3 linked regions of the Daphnia pulex genome follow. The protein of the gene in region 1 purifies or fractionates together with the protein of each later gene. This does not show direct contact. Links are inferred from orthologs where the notes say so. Each region holds a gene or a part of one and is shown on either strand. Other genes may lie near its edges. The genes, in order: E3 ubiquitin-protein ligase rnf146-like, DNA repair protein XRCC1-like and poly [ADP-ribose] polymerase 1-like.

Region 1 (6,385 bases):
TCTCCAGATCGAACAAATGAACATCATTATAATATTTATAATCCAATCCGTTGTCGTGATAACCACCAAAGACAACCAAATTTTTTTTACATAAAACCATCCGATGACCACTTCTTGATGAAGGACCAAGTGTAGCGCTAAACATAAAAAATTATTTTTTTAAATTACCCAAGTTGAAAGAAAGAATGATTTAAATACTTTATTTTTTCCCATTTCTTGGTTTTTAAATAAAAGACCCACAAGTCTTTATAATGGTAGAATTGGGACTGTGAAGGAGAAGCATATTCTCCTCCAAATATCCACAACTGCCCTCCTTCCCCTGCTGTCAAAACTGCCTGATGGGCACAGCGTGGTGGTGCAGCTCCTGGAGCTTGTATCTTCAACCATGTTTTCTTCTTTAAGTTGTAAAGAACTAGATCACCAAAACAATAGGTCTACAAGAATGAAGATGAAATCAGTTAGTATTACAAAATCTATCATTATTTTATTTTCAACCTTTTGTCCATTGAAATATTCTCCTCCGAACATGACAATTTCATCTTTTTCAAAATGAGCATTTAAAGAAAAATTTGCTCTGCGACTAGGCCCATCTTTGAGCAAATCTTCAACAATAGCATTTTTCTTTCGATCTGCTTCTTCAAGTTCTTTTATAACTTGCTCCAAGTCTTCCTAGAAATAAAAAAATATATCATCAAAACATTTAATTCAAAGGGCTGTGAGCACATTATACCTCTCCTTTAGCAGCTAATTCTTTTTTTAACTTGGTAGTTTGTTTCTTTAAAGTTTTTGCAATCGTTTTCTCAGCTCCTTTACCTTTTTTAGATTTATCTTTTTTACCCATGATTATAATATTATAACAGCTACCTATAAAAACAATTTCTTGATTTAGTAAGAATGTAAAGAGCGAACTCGGTAAATGTCAACACAAGAATTAATTCTTGAAACTTTGACAACTTGAAACGAACACGTTTTCATAAATCGTCTGCTCTTCAGCCATGCTTTAGAGAAGTTCTTTGTTGCCAAATATCTCTACAACAAAAAACGACAGGAAATTAAAAAATTAAAAATTCGCGTTCGACCGTTCGTGGCATTCGAACCTATTTTACCATTTAAAAAAAAGGGAAGATATTTTGGATAGGTATCCGACCAAGATCCGACTTGAGTACACGCTATTACTTTTTACTTCGTGACTGCGCCTGCGGACATTTTTTCTCTGATGGTTTTATCAAATGATAAAATATCACAATGAAATTTCGTCTCGCTACAAATCCCATTCATTATAAAAGGCTGAAGGGATAAACTTAATATAAAACATGACTTATTAAAGTTATGAGGCAAAAAATTTATTTCAAAAATGTAGTCCACTCTACAATATATTTGCGAATGGAAATCAAATAGAGAATCAAGAGTTTTCACTCTCTAATCTAATCAAAATCCAATCTAAAATACAACACACGAGTTGGAGGTTGAGGGGATTACATTTTCTCGGTCGCCATGACCCAAGAATGAATAAGGCAGAAAGATCTTCTTGATTCAATTACAATTTCAAGGTAATTCTGAAAAGAGTAAGACAGATTTACGATACTAACTAATGATCACCTCTCCTTCTTCGTCATCAGAAGAGCTGTCTTCACTTGGCCACAAGTCGTCGTGAGTATCGTCGTGTATAACGCTAGTTTCTTCATCCATATTATAATAGATGACCATGTTATCTAATCTGGAGAGCGGTGGAGTGAACCTATCTCCGTCATGGAGTCTTAGACGTTCGATTTCTTCAACAGCTCGTCGGAGACGACGTCTTTCCCGCTCCTGCCAACGAGATTCACTGGGCAATGTTTGAGCTACAGAGTCTTGATTAGAAATCGTTTCCGGAGCTGGAGACGGAGGACTACGCGGCGTTTGAGGGGTCTGAGGTGTTTGAGGAGTGTTGGAAGGAGCTTGGGGTGTTTGGCTAGGAGATAAACAGTTGGAAGTGAGAGCTGCTCTGCTGGCAGCCACTGAAAGAAGATCTAAAGAAGCAGCTTGACCATTTTCAGTTTCGTCACTCTGTTCCAGCCGCAACCCAGCAACTCCTTTCTTTGGTATTGAGGCAAGATCGCGTTTAATGCGTCGACGTCGCGAAGGCTCCGTCTTCCTGGATTGAAACATCTGATCGAAATCGATCGTGTAAAGAAATCCAGCAATCAGCAACTCGCAAATACGCTGAGAACGCTTATAGGCACATTCCATCTCGAAACTGGTTCGTTCGTCATACGCCCACCAACCTAAAACGAAGAAAACAAAAAAACAAACAAATGAAGCATTCAAAATGTGCTCGTTTTGTTTGAAAGCCATACAAAATGTTGTATTTAGTTAACGTTTTGTGCTTACATAAAGAGAATTTTGATCGAGTACGAAATTACATGTATATTCACATTTCTTTATTATTTTCATTATTATTTTGTTTGTTTGTTCTTAATTTTATTGTTATTTGAAAGATTTCACAAACGAATTCCTGCAACACCGAGTATGGGAAAAGATGCAGCACTTCTTTTTATTTTGCGTATTCTTCCCGCTCTATGTTTAGGAAATTGAATAAGTTGCTGAAAATCGATAACATAACTGGCTCCTGCAATGACCATTTCAAACGTTCTTTCCCCACGTTTGTAATTCTGCTCGAGATCAACAGCGGTGCGGTCGTCGTACTGCCACCAGCCTTAAAGATCCGTAAGGAATGAAATGTCAAAATCTACACAGTCTAAAAGCTGGACCACTCAAAAATATGTTGATAGAGAAAAAGATTAATTACCGTTTCTCCCTTCATAAAACCATTGGTATCCATCTTCTAAAGTGGATTCTTTTTCCAGCTGAGTCCGGTCAAGTAATTGTGGGTGAATAAGGAAATCGCTGGGAATTTCTTGTCGACACATGGCGCATCTTTTCGACTGGAAAGCCACGCCTTTCACGCAAAGATAGCAGAAGATATGTGAACAAGGCAGCTTCACTGGATGAATGCATGTTTGGAGGCATACAGCACATTCTATCACAGTACTGCTATTTTCTCCTTTGTCAACTGGAGAATCTTCTGCCTTGCTACTTGCACTGCAATCTGTTTGTTTCAGTCCTGAGGACAGGACAGAATTATTTGACAAATCTTCTCTGCTACTCTGTAATGAGGCATTTCGGCTGGTCGCTCTTGAGCCTCTTACATTCATCCTTGAGCATTGATCTCCAGAAGTGGTCCCCGACTCAGACATGATAATCTACCAAGAAAGAATAAATATTTATTTTAAAATATATGTTTAGCTTAGGGTAAGTATATATCTAATTATAATAAATTTTCTTAATAACTGGTTAAACTTTCAAGTACCCCTATGAAAGAGTGCACATCAAAAGACTTAAAACAGATTGTAAATCCCTTTGAGTTTAAGTAATACTACTAAGTTTAGTTAAACATATTGTTAGTAACAATCACGTATATTCGCCCAATATTTAACATTTATAATCTGCAAAGAGAAAGTATGAGACAAAAGGATTCAAGAAATGCTTTCCAACCGAGTTTAGAAATATTGCTTTACCTTGTTTTATATCGGGAGTAAGTGGGCAAAAGTAGACTCTATAATTAACAATTATTTTTATATTATACCACTCGGTTTTTATAAGAGTAAGAAGTTCACCAATTAAAACGACCACGACGTGTAAACTTGTGCAGCCATCTTGTCAGTCAGAGTAGTGTTGTTGTAAACACTAAACAGTCGAAGTAAAGGATGGAATGCGCAATATAAGTCTTCGGCGTTGCCAAGTATTCCGAAATGAGAACTCTCCATTTCTCCGAAAGAATTTTTGGTGCGTAATCGAAAAGGCATCCGAAATTAAAGACTGGTTAAGCCGTCCAGCATTCCCCCCACACATCGGAGTGCCAAAAAAAAATGTATAAATAGATACGAGCATAATATCGCTTTAATAGTTTGTATAATATAAAGACAAAATGCTCGACACGTCACATAAATCATTCGTGGGAGGGTTAGGGGGATTGGAAAGATTCAACAATACATCGAAATGTTTACGAGACACGAGACACAACAGAGACGCGCGCCGCATAGAGAGAAATCGAAGAGGGTAGAACTGAAAAACTGAAATAAATAGAACCTCATGAGAAAAAAAAAACAAAAGAAAATACATTCAAGGCAGAGGACGAAAATGTACAGCAAAGGTCCACTAATATGCCGTAATATCTCAATACAAAATAGACAGATGCTTCTTCGTGTTTTCATTTTTAATCGAACAGAAATTCCAGAATGGTAAAAAAGGAAAGAAAAGAATGAGAAGAGAGGGGTCTACAAAAAATTCATGTCTACACCAGTCGATTTTTTCATGTAGTCAGATCTAACGCGCATGAGAGGAAATAGGGCAGGAAGATTGGCATGTGTGACGAAGAGTGAGCGGAAAAAACGTTTGCACCGAAAGAAATGAGGTTCATTACGCCACTCGTTCGTCGAATCAAACACTGGAATTCCTTCACACTATAAAGAAAAGAGAAGCGATGGCAAGACGCAGGGGAGAGCGCATTGAATTTTTGTGTGAGAAAGAAAGAAAGAGGAAACCGATGATGATGATCGTCTTTTTTTATCTTTTAGTACGAGTACACTGCACTTGTGCTATTGCTACCGCGATTGGGGGTCGTCTTTGCGAGGATACGGATCCATCGGATTAAAGGGCGCTAAGCCGGAGGAAGGATGCGGCGACGTCAAATCCATTAAAGGACGACCCACACCGGATGGAGGCGTACTATTGGAGGGCGGTCGGGCGCCTCCCATAGAAGACCCGTGGTGCGGAGGGAGCAAGTGATGCGGATTCATCATGTGAGGAGATGGTGACGGCATTGGATATGGTGACAACCCTAGGCCGGCCGGCATGAGACCCATGTGAGTCCGCCCAAGCGAAGCCAGCGCCGACGAACCCGGGAGTGATGTCGGTGGTTGTCCCGATGGCGGTGGAGTCCGTTTACCACCAGAAGTCAACAGCGATTGAGGCAACATTGACAAGGAGCTCATGCCACTTCCCAATCCGGCTCCTAAAAGTCCACCAGGGCCTAGAGGCGGAAACGGATACGACGTTGAAGTGGGCGGATAGAGAGTCGGGGCTCCACTCATCCCTGGAAGGGATCCAAAGCGATCATTTTGCTGCCCATACGGTCCACCTTGTTGACCTGCCAAGGAATAGGATCCAGCCATAGATGGGTGGCCGAGGTGAGGAGGCAACGATAACCCGTCTCTGTATCGGTCGGGAGGAAGTCCAGGCAATCCATAAGAAGAAGGAGGTGTCCCGTATCCGTGCAGTCCCGGTCCACCTAATGCCAGATGATTGGCTGCCGCACCGTAGTTTCTCAAAAACGATTCGCGATCCATACTCTCCCGCATCGGATCCATCCCACGCAGGACGTCTCTGAAAGGATCGAAGGAACCGTGGCTGTACGCGTGTAACGGCGTGTGCATCCCCATACGGGATCTGTCCAACATGTTGGCGGGCATTTGCATCCCCGGATGGAATGATAACGGCGGAAGATTGCTGGACATGGACTGCGAGGCGTTAGATTTGTTGGACTGATCCGATTTCGAAGATCCACCGTTGGCCGACGTCCGCGAATGTGGATGTAGAGGGGATCGTGAGGCGTGTCTCCTCCTTTCTCGTTCCTTTTCCTCCTCTCTTTTCTTTTCACGCTCTTGTCTTTCACTCCTTTCTCTCTCCTTTTGTCTTTCCTTTTCTCGCTCCCGTTCCCTCTCTCTTTCACGTTCTCTTTCTCTTTCGCGCTCTCGTTCCCGCTCCCGTTCCAGTTCTCGTTCCCGCTCCCTTTCACGTTCTCTTTCACGCTCACGCTCTCGTTCTTCCTTCTTCTGTCTCTCTCTCTCTTTGGCCATCTGATGATGGTTGGACATTGCAGCAGCAGCGCTATGATGAGACGTCGTCGGGGACTGCTCGGATTTCATCGATGACATCGATCCGGCGCTCATCAACGGGGCCAGCCAAGGGGCCGTCATCGAGGACGAGGATGAAGAATGTGGCATTCTAATAAAATCAAAGAAAAAGTATGTCAAAACACCTCAAATTTCTCCAATACTTTTTTTTTCCAGGATCCTATTACCTAGTCCATTGATCGGGTGCCGGACTGTGTCTCACTCCACCAGGTGGCTGCATTGAATGGTGAGAAGGAGGAGGTGTAGGGACGGAAGGAATACGGGGAAGAAAGCCGGCCATGTTGTGATGGGTATAACCAAATGGCGAATTGTGCGAATTGAGCGCGCTGGGCAAGGTATCAAAACCGCCTGTCGACTTTGCATGAGTCTGATGGGGCGGGTGAGGAGGAAGTTGAGGGGGATGAGATGATGGGCCTGGAGGTGGACCTGTA
Region 2 (6,673 bases), on another chromosome or scaffold:
GAAACAGCCACAGGGAGTGCAACTGAGTTTATCAATGGAGGGCTGGCAAAGCGGAAACAATTTGTACACAGAGTGAAGCTCTCAGGGTTGTCGCCTAAACAAAAATACTGTAATCTTCGGATTTTCCATATCTCTTAGGTTAAGCAGTTTTCAAATGTTTTTCTTTCATTAGTTTATCGATGTGGGAGTCGTCTGGGGTGGTCCAATTTGTTCAGTTTCGTTACGGTGGAAAATTCAACCGACTGGTCCCCAAGACTTGCTGTGTACGGCGATATGGGCTCGGAAAATCCTCAGTCACTTTCGCGCCTGCAAAAAGAGTCGCAAGAAGGGCGCTACGATGCTATATTCCACGTTGGCGATTTCGGATACGATTTGTATGAAGAAGACGGACAACTCGGCGACCGATTTATGCGTCAAATCGAACCGATTGCCGCGTACGTTCCTTACATGACCTCGGTCGGAAATCACGAAGAGAAGTACAACTTCAGCCATTACAAAGCGCGATTCTCTATGCCGGGAAGCGAAAATGGATTAATGTACAGTTTTAACCTTGGACCAGCGCATATTATTTCCATCTCGACCGAATTTTACTATTTCATCAACTACGGTTTTAAGCAGATCGTTTTACAGTACGATTGGCTGATTCGCGATCTAGAAGAGGCCAACGCTCCTGAAAATCTTAGCGTCCGACCGTGGATAATAGTAATGGGCCATCGTCCAATGTATTGCTCAAATACAGATCAAGACGACTGTACAAAGAAAGATACTCTTACTCGGGTCGGGCTCCCTTTGTTTCACTGGTAATCGAATGCGTGCTATCATGTCAAATAATAATTCTAAATAATGTAGTGTTTTTATAGGTTCGCTTTGGAGCCGCTCCTCTACAAGTATGGAGTTGACCTGGCCTTGTGGGCTCACGAGCACTCGTACGAACGACTTTGGCCCATATTCAACCGTACGGTAATGAATGGAAGCTTGGAGCATCCCTATACTAACCCTAAAGCTCCAGTTCACGTGACAACTGGATCAGCGGTAGGAGAGATATGCTGGAAAATATTTAACTTTGCACACCGCATTTATCAAAAATATTAAAATTTCAGGGTTGTCGAGAAGAACGGGATGACTTTATTCCAGAATTACCCTATTGGTCGGCCTTTCGCAGCAACGACTACGGTTATTCCCGATTATTTCTCGCAAACAAAACTCATTTACATTTGGAACAAGTGTCCGATGATCAAAACGGTCTGGTGATTGACGATTTTTGGTTAATCAAAGATCTCGTATAGTTTAACTCCTCATTAGCATAAACGAAGACATCGTTCTGTTTTAAAATACCTTTATTATTCATTTCGTTTGTTGCACCAAGAATTCATCGAGAGCAACTAATTTGTTATTTTTTCTGCATGTCCGTATCCAATCACTTTTGACAATTTTCATGTCTTGGTTTTTCGACAGCGCCTTAAAAATAATGAATAATCCAAGACCCGACTTTAGTAATCTTTTATGAACAGAATAAATAAACTGCATTTACCTTGGCGACTGAATCATCGTCAGGATCGTCGGATATAAAGTGAGAAACCTTTGATTTAATTTTCGGCACTAATTTACTGTTTGAGAAAAATACGTTATTTGTCAAAAAGGAACATAAGAAATTTAATTAATGGTAGTACCCTTGACATTCTTTTATATAGAGCGTTAGGTCCTCTTTCACTTCTTCGGACAAATCTTTGCCCAGATAAAAGTTCAAATTAGCGTAAATGTTTGAATCTTCCAAAGTCTGCTGTTGTTCTTTAATTTTCTTCTTGATCCTATTTCAAACAATTATGTGCGTTAGCCATTATAAATTCGAAAAGAGTGTGTGAGATGAGCCTACATATCGATTTCATCTTCCGTGTCGACTTCGTCAACTTCAGTCGACCCGCCGTAGTCTTCTTCTTCTTCGTCCTTGACGACACTAGTTTTAGGACTCGCCACCACAGTGGTAGGCTTACAACTGGCTGCTACAGTTGGCGATTGGGGTACTACAGTTGCTGCTTTACTGGTTTGGGGTGTAGGGGTCGGACATGTCGGCCCCTGGTCCTCTCCTTCCCAAATTTCTTCTTCGCTTTCTTCTCCTCTGTCATTTTTATCTAAACAATAACTATTTAAAAAGACAAATTATTACAATCCAAGCGATAGAAAAATAAACCACATTGGTAATGATTTTTACCGTCTCCATGGTAATCTTTTTCGTTTGTCGAAACAATCTTGAACCCAATTTTTGGTAACTATTTTGCCTTTACCCTTAACTTCAATGAACTTTGGTGTGTTGTAAAAGGCACATCTATAATCAAATGAATAAAGAATAATAAGCGCATGACTCTACGTCAAAAATTTGTTTTGTAAAATATACATCAAATGCGTACAAGACGCGTTCCATTCCGGTTTATAGGTGGCACCTAAGGCCAGCAGTTTATCTCGCAGTTGACCCCGTAAAGGATTTTGAAAACCACTAAGGACCACCACGACGCCTTCCAATAGGCGATTAAAAGGTTTGGTCGTCCGTTGCTTTTTCGCTAAGCGCTGCGTCTATAGATCGGCATTCAAAAGATGTGATAGTACGACTCATAATTTGAAAGGTTGAATTATAAATGTTTATACGTCAACTGATGGAGAAGGTGGTGGTGTTTTCCTTTTAACTGGTCCTTCAACTCTCTTCGATTCATGAAGGGGGGAATGTCTTGGTTTGCTTTCTTGCATTTTTTTACTCAACGATTTTTTAGCTGGTGGAGTGATGGGCGGCGCAACTGGTCTCGGCCGATCAGATTCCACTTGCTTGCGACTAGGTAATGGCGAATGTTGATCGACTTTGGCAGCAGTAGGTGTTTTAGATACTGTGGGACTTCGAGTCTGCAACGTTTTAAGCTTATCTGTCAATTTGATATCTGGTCTGCTGCCGTCCTTGTTAGGGGAGTGTCTCAAAATGGTCAAGGCCTCTTTCTCACTCTGTGCTAGGGCAGCAGAGGCAAGACTTTGAGATGCAGCACGGATTGCACCAGGCTCTATTTAAATAAAAAAAATCATTATCATGGTATGAAAACAAATTAGACAGCAATAATTACGAGTGCTGGGCGAGGTGCTGATCGACGACTTGAACCGAGAGAACAAACTGCCTTGTTTGATGGGGTCAACAATTGATTCTTCGGACCTAAGTTTAAACATGCCAAGATCTATGCTGTTTGCTGCTTTCACGCTAGCACTAAGGTGATTAAGATTCATTTAATAGGATACATTATTGGTATGACATGTGGCAATATTTGTGGCTTACTTATTGTTGGTTTTATTAGCTGACTCTTCTTCTGGAGCATGAACTGTAAGGAAGGAAATTCCATACTGAAGCTGTTTGTTGAACGGTTGAGTGCAAACAACCCGAACGCGATCCCATTTTTCAGCTTGGGTGGCCTTGTTCAAATCTTGGTGTTTGAAAATCCGTACACGCTGGAGATTTGTTTCGTTTCGACACTCTTGAGGTGTCATAAAAGAGGCTGAATTCAAAAGAACCTAATACATGTGTACAACTTTTACATTAAATAATACAATTATTTTAAAGTGTAATGTCTACCTTGTAGTCTTCATCGGAACAACCACTTCTACCAACTAAAATTTCAATGAATGCAGAACCATGGTTTCCTATGTCAACAGCTGAAATGAAGGATGTTTTCTCTAACTGAAATTCAACCCACGCTTTCTGCTCTCCAGCAGATTTGCACCTCCATTTCCTGTACACTCCATCTTTAATGAGGTTTTCTGTTGGCTGATTCTGTAAAAAAAAAATCTTTATCATTTTCCATAGTGCACAGAGTTGTGCAAATTGTAAGAATCGTTGTGACTATTTTATCTTCTTCTAGTGAAAGTCTTCATCGTTGAAATTAAATAGATTTCTATACTGCCAGTCACAACTATGGAATACTAAGTTCACCAAAATAGCAGTAGAAGTGTCAAGAGTAATTTGTGAAAATCACCCTGGTTCGATAAACCAAACGTCAAAACAACTATCACTTGCGACTTTATACAATGAAAATCACAATTTTGTTAACATACCGGATCTTCGCTACTGAAACTCACAACACGAGTAAATTTTATGGGCGCCATAGACAAAACAACGACGCTGAACAAATGTTAAGAAAATCAAAACTGGAATACAAATTTCAACGACTTTTTAACTTGGCACGTGTATCGTCGGAAGTTGATTTGTCCAATGTTTGCAGCTGCACTATACGTTTTATTCTCTGGCGGCTTTGGGGCTAGAAGACGGCCTGAATAATTTGGAAGATTTCTTATTCTGAGTCGTCGCACCCTGAGCGATTCAGATTTTATTAGAATAATAATTTATTCCCCCATTTTAAAAGTTGTGATCATTCAATTTTCCCTACATTTTATTTTTATTATATATGGAAAGTCGGCTGCTCCTGGGTCCTGTTTAAAAAACCCGCCAACAGAGCGCGTTGGCTTGCAAACGGACATTGTAAAATGCATTCAGCGCGCGTATTCAATATGCATTGAACACAACACCAGATTCAGAATCCAAACAAAAATCGCTGGGTTTTTTTTCTACGCTGGTCTTTTTTAAAAAGGTTAACAGCGTCCTATAGTGGATAATGGCCTATTTTAGGTTATCCTTTTATTTATTATTACTGATGCCTGATGACAAGTCGAAAATAAACCGACAATAACTCATCGACATCAGCAGAGATCAATCTTTTACGACAACAGAAATGAATAAAAATAAGTCTGCAAATAAAATCTACACATTAAACGTTTAAGTCAATTTCAATTCCAACTGGAAATATATACGTTCTGGCGGTTCAATGTTTAAACTACCAAATTGATTAATGTCCACTAAATTTATTATTTTCTTTTCTCTTAACCATTCATGATGCTGGAGAGAAGGGGGAGGGATGTCATCGATTTTAGCTCATTTAATTTCTATTACGGCTTAGCTGGCGCATTAATTTATCAACGTGGTACTCCGACAACGAAGTTTATATTACAAGGACAACGTCAACAGCCAGAGTGCAAAGCATTTTGTGCAAGTGATATTTTTAATTTGTTTTTTTTTCTAATTCGACCGTTTCTCGCTCCTTGGATACCGAAAGAAAAGCCGAGGAGAAGAAAACCATATTACGTCTCGCCTTTATTAATAGGTGATTCCCCAGAAAAAACAAAAAAAATAAAACAGCCACAGCATCGCCCAGTATCAACTGGAACATTTTCCGGCGTTAGTAGTATTGACACCTCCACGCTCTTTTCCTCCCTTCTTTATATTGTATTTACAAGGCCCACGCAGCAGCAAGCAACCCAGCTCTTTCCAAGGATGAACATGGCTACATTATATATATAGTATAGGCTTTTAATTTCTCCTATATATGTCTTATTTCGCTATACAGCCAAAGAATCGAGGTTGCGCACAGAGAATATTAAGGAATGTATTTTTTAGATTTCCCTTCCGAAAAAACTTTTCTTTTAACTCTCCTCGATCCTGCTGACTACATGTATAAATACACAGGCTATATTATATAAACTGCACTCACTGCAGGCATATACACACACATTTCATGTACAATATATATGTATTAGGCTTCCGGCAGCTTTGTATACCTATGTACGAGCCACTTCAATTTCTTATAGTCTCTTTCTATTTCATTCTCCATTCTATTTTGTTTCCTCTTGTATTATTCCTAAGATTCCCCCCCCCCAAAATACAACAAAGACACAATCAGCAGCACCTACCGTCTATATAGGCTATATGCATGGTGTATAGTCTAAAACTTTGTTCATCGTTGCTTGGTGTCGATAAATATCCCGGCAATCTATCTAATATTCTATGTGGGGCTTCGTTGTCATACAAAGTAAAATGATGAAGAGATCTCTAGATATTATGCTCACGCGTCTATAATATATATCCCATCTCTCTTTTTCCAACCCATTGAGACTCTGTGTGTGTCTAGAGTTTTCCTTGTCCCAGCATGAATATAGACAGTATATATAGACCATGAATAGGGCGCTTTAATGAGCTTCTGCTACAAGCACTGTCAACTATACTTCTCTTACCAGAAATGCACCGCGCCTTTATGTCGGTGATAATATACAGTCTCAAAAGTATTGTTTTGGTACTATACGTTCAAAGTATCATCAGACGACACACTATACAAGATACTTGTTTATTATACGTCTGCAGGGGGGAAAATACGTCGAGGCTTTGCTCGAACGAAACTTATTGGTAGACGAATCTGAACTTTCCCAGCAGCACAGAGGCGCTTTCTTGCACTCAGCAAAGATCTATATAAGAAAGTGGCATGATATAACATGAACTTATACAAGCACCGTATGTATATATATGTAAATACGGCTATATAGCTATATAACTGAATGTTCGTATACTAGATTGGAAAAGTTTGGTTTTTTTTATTTAGGTTTGGCAAAAGTGCCATTTTATATACTTTCAAATCGCTCGAGGCCGCACAGCATGCATGTGCGCCGCGGTGCTCAACAAATCATTTCATTCCCTTTATATTATATTTCTATATAATTATATGTTCGTGGCATTTTATTTACGTCGTGCTATACATAATTATCTAATCTTCTTTACTATTAAAAAGAGACTGTCGTGTGTAGGCTATAATTAATTGTCCCA
Region 3 (6,623 bases), on another chromosome or scaffold:
TCTCCAGGACCTGTTTGTATACAGTTTCTGAAGTGGCCTTTTCACCAACCAGTCCCTTTTCTTTTTGAAACTGTACATTTTTACACCTATTAGAATACAAATAAATCAATATAAAATGACAAACAATTATTTAAATAAATAGTGTGATATCTTACTTTAAATCTTCATCATCTTCATCAACCCAGACTGCTTGCCTTCCTGCTGTTGAACTTAAACCTAGATTTTTACCATAGACATCTTCTGGAAGGGAATCTTTCGCTTCACTAGATGCTTTGTTGGAGATTTGTTTTCTCAATTTTTTTTTTGAAGCAGAACTTTTGCTCGTATCTTTTTTAGACTGGGGTTCTTGTTCCAGTTTCTTAAACAATTCCCCAAATAGCAACTCTTCCAGTCTCTTTTCTTCTCTTTCCCTATAGTCAATGCCCAAGACTTGAGGTTTGGATTGTTTCAACTTCTTACTTTTTGGCTCCTCATGAAGATCTTCATTTTCATCAACATTTGGTAAATCATATCCATCCAGGGCTCCAAGATCCAACTGAAACTCTGTAGACTCAACTTTTAGTTGCTCGTCATTCTTTGCTGGTTTCGGTTTTGAACTTTTTTTCTTAAATGTGCGTCCCATCTTAAGTGTTATTTCTTCGTTTGTTGCACCTTAATAAACACGTGCTTGATGGCTTGGGTGCTTCTAAACTTGTAATTTTCAATTTGAACTAAATTCGTCTGCAACAGTCATTCCAAACTCCACATCCACTTTATCTGAAATAGGTAAATAGTGGGAGCAAATCCCAAGTTGGCTAGACTGGACAAGACTGGACTCGCCAGGGACTCGCAGGCTAATGAAGACTAATGAAGTAATTGGTTAGCGAATTAACCATAAAAATAATGAGGTAATATGATTTATTACTTTTGTATATTATCAAATAGACACCAACGAAAATTTCTTCTGAATCTTGATTTTATGACTTGTCCGGCTGCATTCTAGTTTCGCGCATGATTAGTAGGCCTACAGCAACCTACTAATGTATCCTACCAAGTTACATTCCCTCTGATATTTTTCAATGAAAAAAGAATCTTAAACTCTACGATATGAGACTTTAATTTTTTTATTTCCGTTGGTGAATGAAATATTTGAAATAAGAATAAGAATAAACGCGCAAACATCTACAGATCATAGAATTGGAATTTAGAAAAGTGATTAGTTAAGAATAGTGTGTCGATCATAAATATGTCGACGTTGTTCTTGAACAGTTTTCTTCCACTTATCAGTAGTTTGGCCAACACGGTTGAGCACACCTGCTCCACTTGCCCTTAAAGGTTGAGAATGGGTTTCACTTTCATCCTGTAGGATAAATTAGTTAAAAAGATGATTGAAGGAAGAAAAGGGAGAAATTTATAGAATACCTCTTCATTATTATGTTCTTGATATTGTGTAGTGGTTTTCTTGTTGAGAAGGGGATCAAGACAAACAAGAAACAGCATGTATATGACTAGTAGAGATATTATCCAGATAACAATAATTACAACAACCTGAAATTTAAAAAAATTTATATTAGAATAGTCTACAATACATTATGTCAACAGTTTTTTTGCCTTGATTGTTGTTGTGTTCCTGCTTTCGTACTTGCATTCACATCGTGGACAAAATTCTTTTTCCTTTCCTTTGATATCATCCCCTACCCTTGGGAGCACAACATTTGTACAATCACATTTGTTAGGTGGAACATTTTCAATGTAAAGTTTTCTATGTGACTGAGTTCCGTTTACTACGGCGGTATCTGGACAAATGCACTTGCATCTGACATCCTCATACTGTGCATTCACCTATTAGGACAAAAACAAACAAAACCAAAATCATTAAATTTCTAAGCAATGTTTTCTTAATAGTAAACATAAAAATCAATACATCACTGATGAATGAGAAGATGAAAAGGACGAAAAAAGAAAGAAAGAAACTCTTTCGAAGTGTCATAATTGCAGCAAAATCCGATACTGATTTGTCGGAAACAAAACAGCTGACAGACTGTCGACCACAGCTTGTGGCGCCAACTGGTTTGCTATTTAAAAAAAAAAAGAAACATTGTTTTTGTTCAAAGAGGAAATGGGTCGTTAAACATGTATTACAGCAATAAAAATTTAAACGTTACTGTGGAATTGAAATTTAATTACTTATTCTTTTTAGTTCTAAATAAACTTTTCTCCATTTTCGCCACTTAGGAGCCCCCATCTGACAACACTGTTTTGTTCCTAGCGCGCCATCTCGAAATTCTACTGTTACCTAAAAACGTGCCCAACTCTGTCGGCTGCGAAGTGCGAACTGCGAAGTTTGGAGGACGTTGTACTCGAAGTAGTGGAAAAGATTGTGTTAAAAGAATCAAGAATTCAAACTATCTGAGTGCACTGGAAATTGGAATATATAGGTATGGCCCATTTCAATCTCATTTAAAATTATGAACTGCTAATGCTAATTGTGTTTTTTTTTGTGATTTTTCCGAAATCCCAGAAATCGTGGGACGTTCATTTTCAGAAGAAAACGATGGCGGATGATTTACCTTTTCGAGCAGAATATGCAAAGACGGGTCGAGCTAGTTGCAAGAAATGCAAAGAAAACATTCCTCAAGGCACTCTACGACTTGCTGTAATCTTTCAGGTAACATTTTATTTTTTATTGTTTGGTTCTGGACTTTGTACACTAGTACAGTATTGTTGTTTTAGGCTGCCAAATTTGATGGGAAAATGGTTTCGTGGTACCACTTTGATTGCTTTTTTGAAAGGCAACGGCCCAAATCAGCTGGTGACATTGAACATTTTGATCAATTGCGCTGGGAAGATCAAGAGAAAATTAATCAGATGCTCAAAAGTAAAACATTACTAATATTGCTATACATTGTATTTAGTTGATTTCTAACTATTTCCTTTTTCCAAAGAAATCAGTGAAGGTGGGATTGCTGAACCAAGTAAAAAAGGAAAAGGCAAGGGGAAAACAGCTAAAGTTGCTGAACCCTTTTCTGATTTTCTAATTGAGTATGCAAAATCTGGGAGAGCTGCATGTCGAGGCTGCTTAGAAAAAATTGCAAAAGTATTATAATCATTAAGTGCAAGTTCTAAAACGATCCATGTTCAAACATGTCTATAATGTTCAAATTGTAGGATGAATTGAGGATATCAAAGAAAGGATACGACACCAAAGGAGGCATGAGACATGGACAAATGTTGGATATGTGGTACCACGTCAAATGTTTTAAAGAGCGACGAGAAGAATTAGAATTTGTTAGCGGAGTGGATACAATCCCTGGATTTAAAGATCTAACTGCCGACGACAAAAAAGTTCTCTCAAAAGAACTCCCTGCTCTTTCCGCTAAGTATTGACAAGAATCGAAATTTGGAAAATCATGTATTATAACGGTTTCTTTTTTCAGCAAACGAAAAGTTGACGGGGATGCTGTCGACGGACCTTCGGATGCAAAGAAGATAAAGAAAGAAGAAAAAGAAAATGAACAGCTCAAGGAAGAGATCAAGAAGCAAAATAAAATTCAGTTTAAATACAGAGACCAGTTGGAAACTCTGACAAAACAAGAACTCCAGATTCTGCTGGAATACAACGATCAGCAAATTCCTTCTGGAACATCTGAAGTACTTGCACTTTTTATTAATATTTTTATTTTCTTCTGAGTGTTAATCAATATGTCGCATAGTTAAACTATATGCAGCTATTTATCTTTTTAGATGTTGGACCTTCTTGCCGATGTAATGGCGTTTGGAGCTTTGCTTCCATGCAATGAATGCAAAAGTGGACAGTTTTTCTACAAGTGATTAAAATAATAGAAATTTCAAGTCGGTAAGCCTTACCTATATAGATTTACTTCTTCTTCTACAACAGGAGTGGCATGGGTTATCAATGCTCTGGAAACATGAGTGGCTGGACGAAGTGCCCCAACTCGACAACAACTCCCGAAAGGAAACCATTCAAAGTTCCATCGGACCTCTCGGAAAATTACTCATTTTTGTAATAAGGCTGTTGTTGCCATACATTAAGTTACTTTCTAAACTTCATTCTTCTATAGGAAAAAGTACAAATATGTTCCCGGACAGAGGGTAATCCCAGCGCTAACTCGCACTATTCGTATGAATCCAACCGAAGAAGTGAACGTGAAAAAAGAAAAGTAGCTATTTACTCAACTAGATAACGTGCTAGTTCTGTCTATTAATGTTTTCTTTTTCTTTTAGATCCGATTCGAAACGCCCACCCACACTAGAAGGCTTGAAATTCATTCTTGATTCCAAGCTTGAAAAGTCTAAAGAAAAAGTCGAAGCTGAAATAAAAAAATTACTAGGTTCTGTAGGTTCGCGCGTTACCGAAAAAATTGCAGCCGTAATTTCTACGAAAGGTTAGAAATTTGAGTGGGTAGTTTCTCTTATGAGATTAAGCCTTTATATGTGGTATTACTGTTTTACAGACAATTTAAAAGAAAAGGATTCAAAGTTGAAGAAAGCGTCTGAACTCGGTATTCATGTTGTAGACCTTAGCTTTTTGGATGCAATCAAAGCAAGCACTGGCGAATCTGCCTCATCCATTATAACGAAGAAAAACATCGCACCATGGGATTGCCACAGTGTAAATTTTTTTTCTTTTATTGCCCTAATTTTTGAGATTTTTTAAAAACTGTAATAAATCTAGATCGAGAAGCGTCTTGGTTTGGACGAGTCGGGTGCCACGAAATCTTCTGGAAAATCGAAAGGCTCAGGTTGGTTGGACTGTTTATTACTTTTAATGTTTCCCAGTAAAAACTGTAGTATAAGTATGGGGGAGTCATACGCTTTAAACTTGCAAGTAAATCAAGTTCAAGGTCACAACTCAATCCTAAATTAATTGAGTCGTCTGATGACTATGAAGGGATCCAAGTCTGCCCTCATAGACAGATACGCGACTAACATATTTGTTGATTTATTTCACGCTAAAAACGAAGCTGAATCTCGTAACTAAATTGTGTTTTCGTTTGCAGAAAAATCTGGTTCAGGCATGTCCGATAAACTGAAGCTGAAACTTAAAGGAGGAGGAGTAGTTGATCCCGATTCTGGTTTGGAAGATAAAGCACATGTCCTGAAGACGAAAAATGGTCTGTACAGCGTTGTACTTGGGATCGTTGACATTCAAGGTGGAAGAAATTCTTACTACAAGCTTCAAATTCTTGAACACGACAAAGGAAACAAGTAAATTGGCTTCGCTTCCCCCAGTGGCAATTGTAGATAACAACTATAATTTTTTTTTTTTTTTTTTTTTAATTCGACAGGTGGCATGTATTCCGTGCTTGGGGTCGAGTTGGTACAACGATTGGAGATACCAAGCTAACTAAGATGGATACCAAACAAGAAGCAATAGAGGATTTTGTTGCTCTGTACGAGGAGAAAACTGGTAACCTTTGGGAAAATCGAGATAATTTTGAGAAGCAGCCCGGAAAACTCTACCCTCTAGATATTGACTACGGAGAGGTATTTTCTATTTTTCTTGTGTCTTTTTGAAATTACGTAATGACATCAATTTTTTAAAATGTGATTTCCACACTTTCAGTCAGAAATAGATTCACGTATGACGATCGCCAATTCGACATCGAAGCTTCACCGATCTATTCAAGAATTGGTCTGCATGTTATTTGATGTCGAAGCTATGAAACGGACGATGGTAGAATTTGAATTAGATCTAACCAAGATGCCTCTTGGTAAACTGAGCAAGAAACAGCTAGAAAAGGCGTACGGGATTTTAAGTCAGGCTCAGGAAATGTTGGATTCGAAAGATGTATCGAAGACTAAATTCCTCGATATCTCGAATCAGTTCTACACACTCATTCCGCACGACTTTGGAAGAAAAACTCCGCCTGTTCTTAGCGATAACGAAATCATTAAGGTAATGGATTAACTCATTGTCCTTCCAGCATGATGTAGTATAATCTCGATTTGTTTTCTAGTCTAAACTGGAGATGCTTGAGAGCTTGATGGAAATCGAGGTGGCCTTCAGCTTGCTGAAAGCCGGCGATGCTGTTAAGGATAAGGATCCCATCGATGCCCACTATGAGAAGCTTAACACTGAAATTGAAGTAACAATATTTATCCCTTTCATGTTTTGTATTACGTATCATTGCTGATTTTTTAAATTATCTCTAGGTTTTGGACAAGTCTTCCGAAGAATTTAGTGTTATTCAAACGTATGCAAAGAATACTCACGCAGCAACTCATACTCAATATACTCTCGAAGTGGAAGAAGTAAGTAGAAGAGTTTAAGTAGTTTCACGCTAGGACTAGCAGTTAACTTTTTCGTTTTCTTTCCCAGGTATTCAAGGTGGTTCGGAAAGGAGAATCGAAAAGATTCCGTCCGTTCTCCAAATTACCCAATCGCAAGCTCTTGTGGCACGGATCTCGTGTTTCCAATATGGCTGGTATCCTATCTCAAGGGTTGCGTATTGCCCCACCTGAGGTAAAATTACATTTATTTGTTATATATTTGACTTTTTTCTTGATTAACCATTAATCCTTTCTTTATTTTGGGTGAATTTTGATAGGCTCCAGTCACTGGTAATTTCTTCTTGGCTACTCAACTATATCACGATGATTAAACTTGTTAATGCTTTTGT

What was found.
Region 2: the proteins of E3 ubiquitin-protein ligase rnf146-like (region 1) and DNA repair protein XRCC1-like purify together in Homo sapiens (co-immunoprecipitation; 3 studies listed by BioGRID and IntAct, with this or other methods). This does not show direct contact. The link is inferred for Daphnia pulex from reciprocal best matches to the Homo sapiens genes RNF146 and XRCC1.
Region 3: the proteins of E3 ubiquitin-protein ligase rnf146-like (region 1) and poly [ADP-ribose] polymerase 1-like purify together in Homo sapiens (affinity purification with mass spectrometry; 4 studies listed by BioGRID and IntAct, counting the BioPlex papers as one, with this or other methods). This does not show direct contact. The link is inferred for Daphnia pulex from reciprocal best matches to the Homo sapiens genes RNF146 and PARP1.

What each region holds. Positions count from the first base shown.
Region 1 is NC_060018.1:1,339,727-1,346,111, reverse strand, and holds E3 ubiquitin-protein ligase rnf146-like, read right to left. Parts: upstream 3,751-6,385; 5' UTR 3,657-3,750; intron 3,596-3,656; 5' UTR 3,558-3,595; intron 3,243-3,557; 5' UTR 3,237-3,242; coding exon 2,789-3,236; intron 2,265-2,788; coding exon 1,585-2,264; 3' UTR 1,328-1,584; downstream 1-1,327. Other genes in the region: kelch domain-containing protein 4-like, read right to left, coding at 1-137, 199-434, 496-669, 731-841; serine/arginine repetitive matrix protein 2-like, read right to left, coding at 4,644-6,045, 6,122-6,385. UniProt on the Homo sapiens protein: E3 ubiquitin-protein ligase that specifically binds poly-ADP-ribosylated (PARsylated) proteins and mediates their ubiquitination and subsequent degradation. May regulate many important biological processes, such as cell survival and DNA damage response.
Region 2 is NC_060028.1:2,113,958-2,120,630, reverse strand, and holds DNA repair protein XRCC1-like, read right to left. Parts: upstream 4,252-6,673; 5' UTR 4,132-4,251; coding exon 4,081-4,131; intron 3,800-4,080; coding exon 3,602-3,799; intron 3,541-3,601; coding exon 3,308-3,540; intron 3,239-3,307; coding exon 3,102-3,238; intron 3,042-3,101; coding exon 2,641-3,041; intron 2,569-2,640; coding exon 2,393-2,568; intron 2,324-2,392; coding exon 2,210-2,323; intron 2,141-2,209; coding exon 1,874-2,140; intron 1,809-1,873; coding exon 1,671-1,808; intron 1,608-1,670; coding exon 1,532-1,607; exon of another isoform or gene 1,459-1,531; coding exon 1,345-1,458; 3' UTR 1,320-1,344; downstream 1-1,319. Other genes in the region: acid phosphatase type 7-like, read left to right, coding at 1-109, 173-800, 861-1,032, 1,101-1,286. UniProt on the Homo sapiens protein: Scaffold protein involved in DNA single-strand break repair by mediating the assembly of DNA break repair protein complexes. Negatively regulates ADP-ribosyltransferase activity of PARP1 during base-excision repair in order to prevent excessive PARP1 activity.
Region 3 is NC_060024.1:8,492,002-8,498,624, forward strand, and holds the start of poly [ADP-ribose] polymerase 1-like, read left to right. Parts: upstream 1-2,259; 5' UTR 2,260-2,417; intron 2,418-2,500; 5' UTR 2,501-2,533; coding exon 2,534-2,647; intron 2,648-2,712; coding exon 2,713-2,857; intron 2,858-2,924; coding exon 2,925-3,076; intron 3,077-3,147; coding exon 3,148-3,359; intron 3,360-3,416; coding exon 3,417-3,630; intron 3,631-3,723; coding exon 3,724-3,806; intron 3,807-3,877; coding exon 3,878-4,003; intron 4,004-4,061; coding exon 4,062-4,160; intron 4,161-4,224; coding exon 4,225-4,385; intron 4,386-4,454; coding exon 4,455-4,612; intron 4,613-4,675; coding exon 4,676-4,742; intron 4,743-5,000; coding exon 5,001-5,208; intron 5,209-5,288; coding exon 5,289-5,487; intron 5,488-5,566; coding exon 5,567-5,899; intron 5,900-5,960; coding exon 5,961-6,089; intron 6,090-6,156; coding exon 6,157-6,255; intron 6,256-6,322; coding exon 6,323-6,466; intron 6,467-6,551; coding exon 6,552-6,564; intron 6,565-6,623. Other genes in the region: U3 small nucleolar RNA-associated protein 18 homolog, read right to left, coding at 1-86, 156-622; uncharacterized protein CG1161-like, read right to left, coding at 1,196-1,339, 1,402-1,527, 1,591-1,821, 1,904-1,969. UniProt on the Homo sapiens protein: Poly-ADP-ribosyltransferase that mediates poly-ADP-ribosylation of proteins and plays a key role in DNA repair.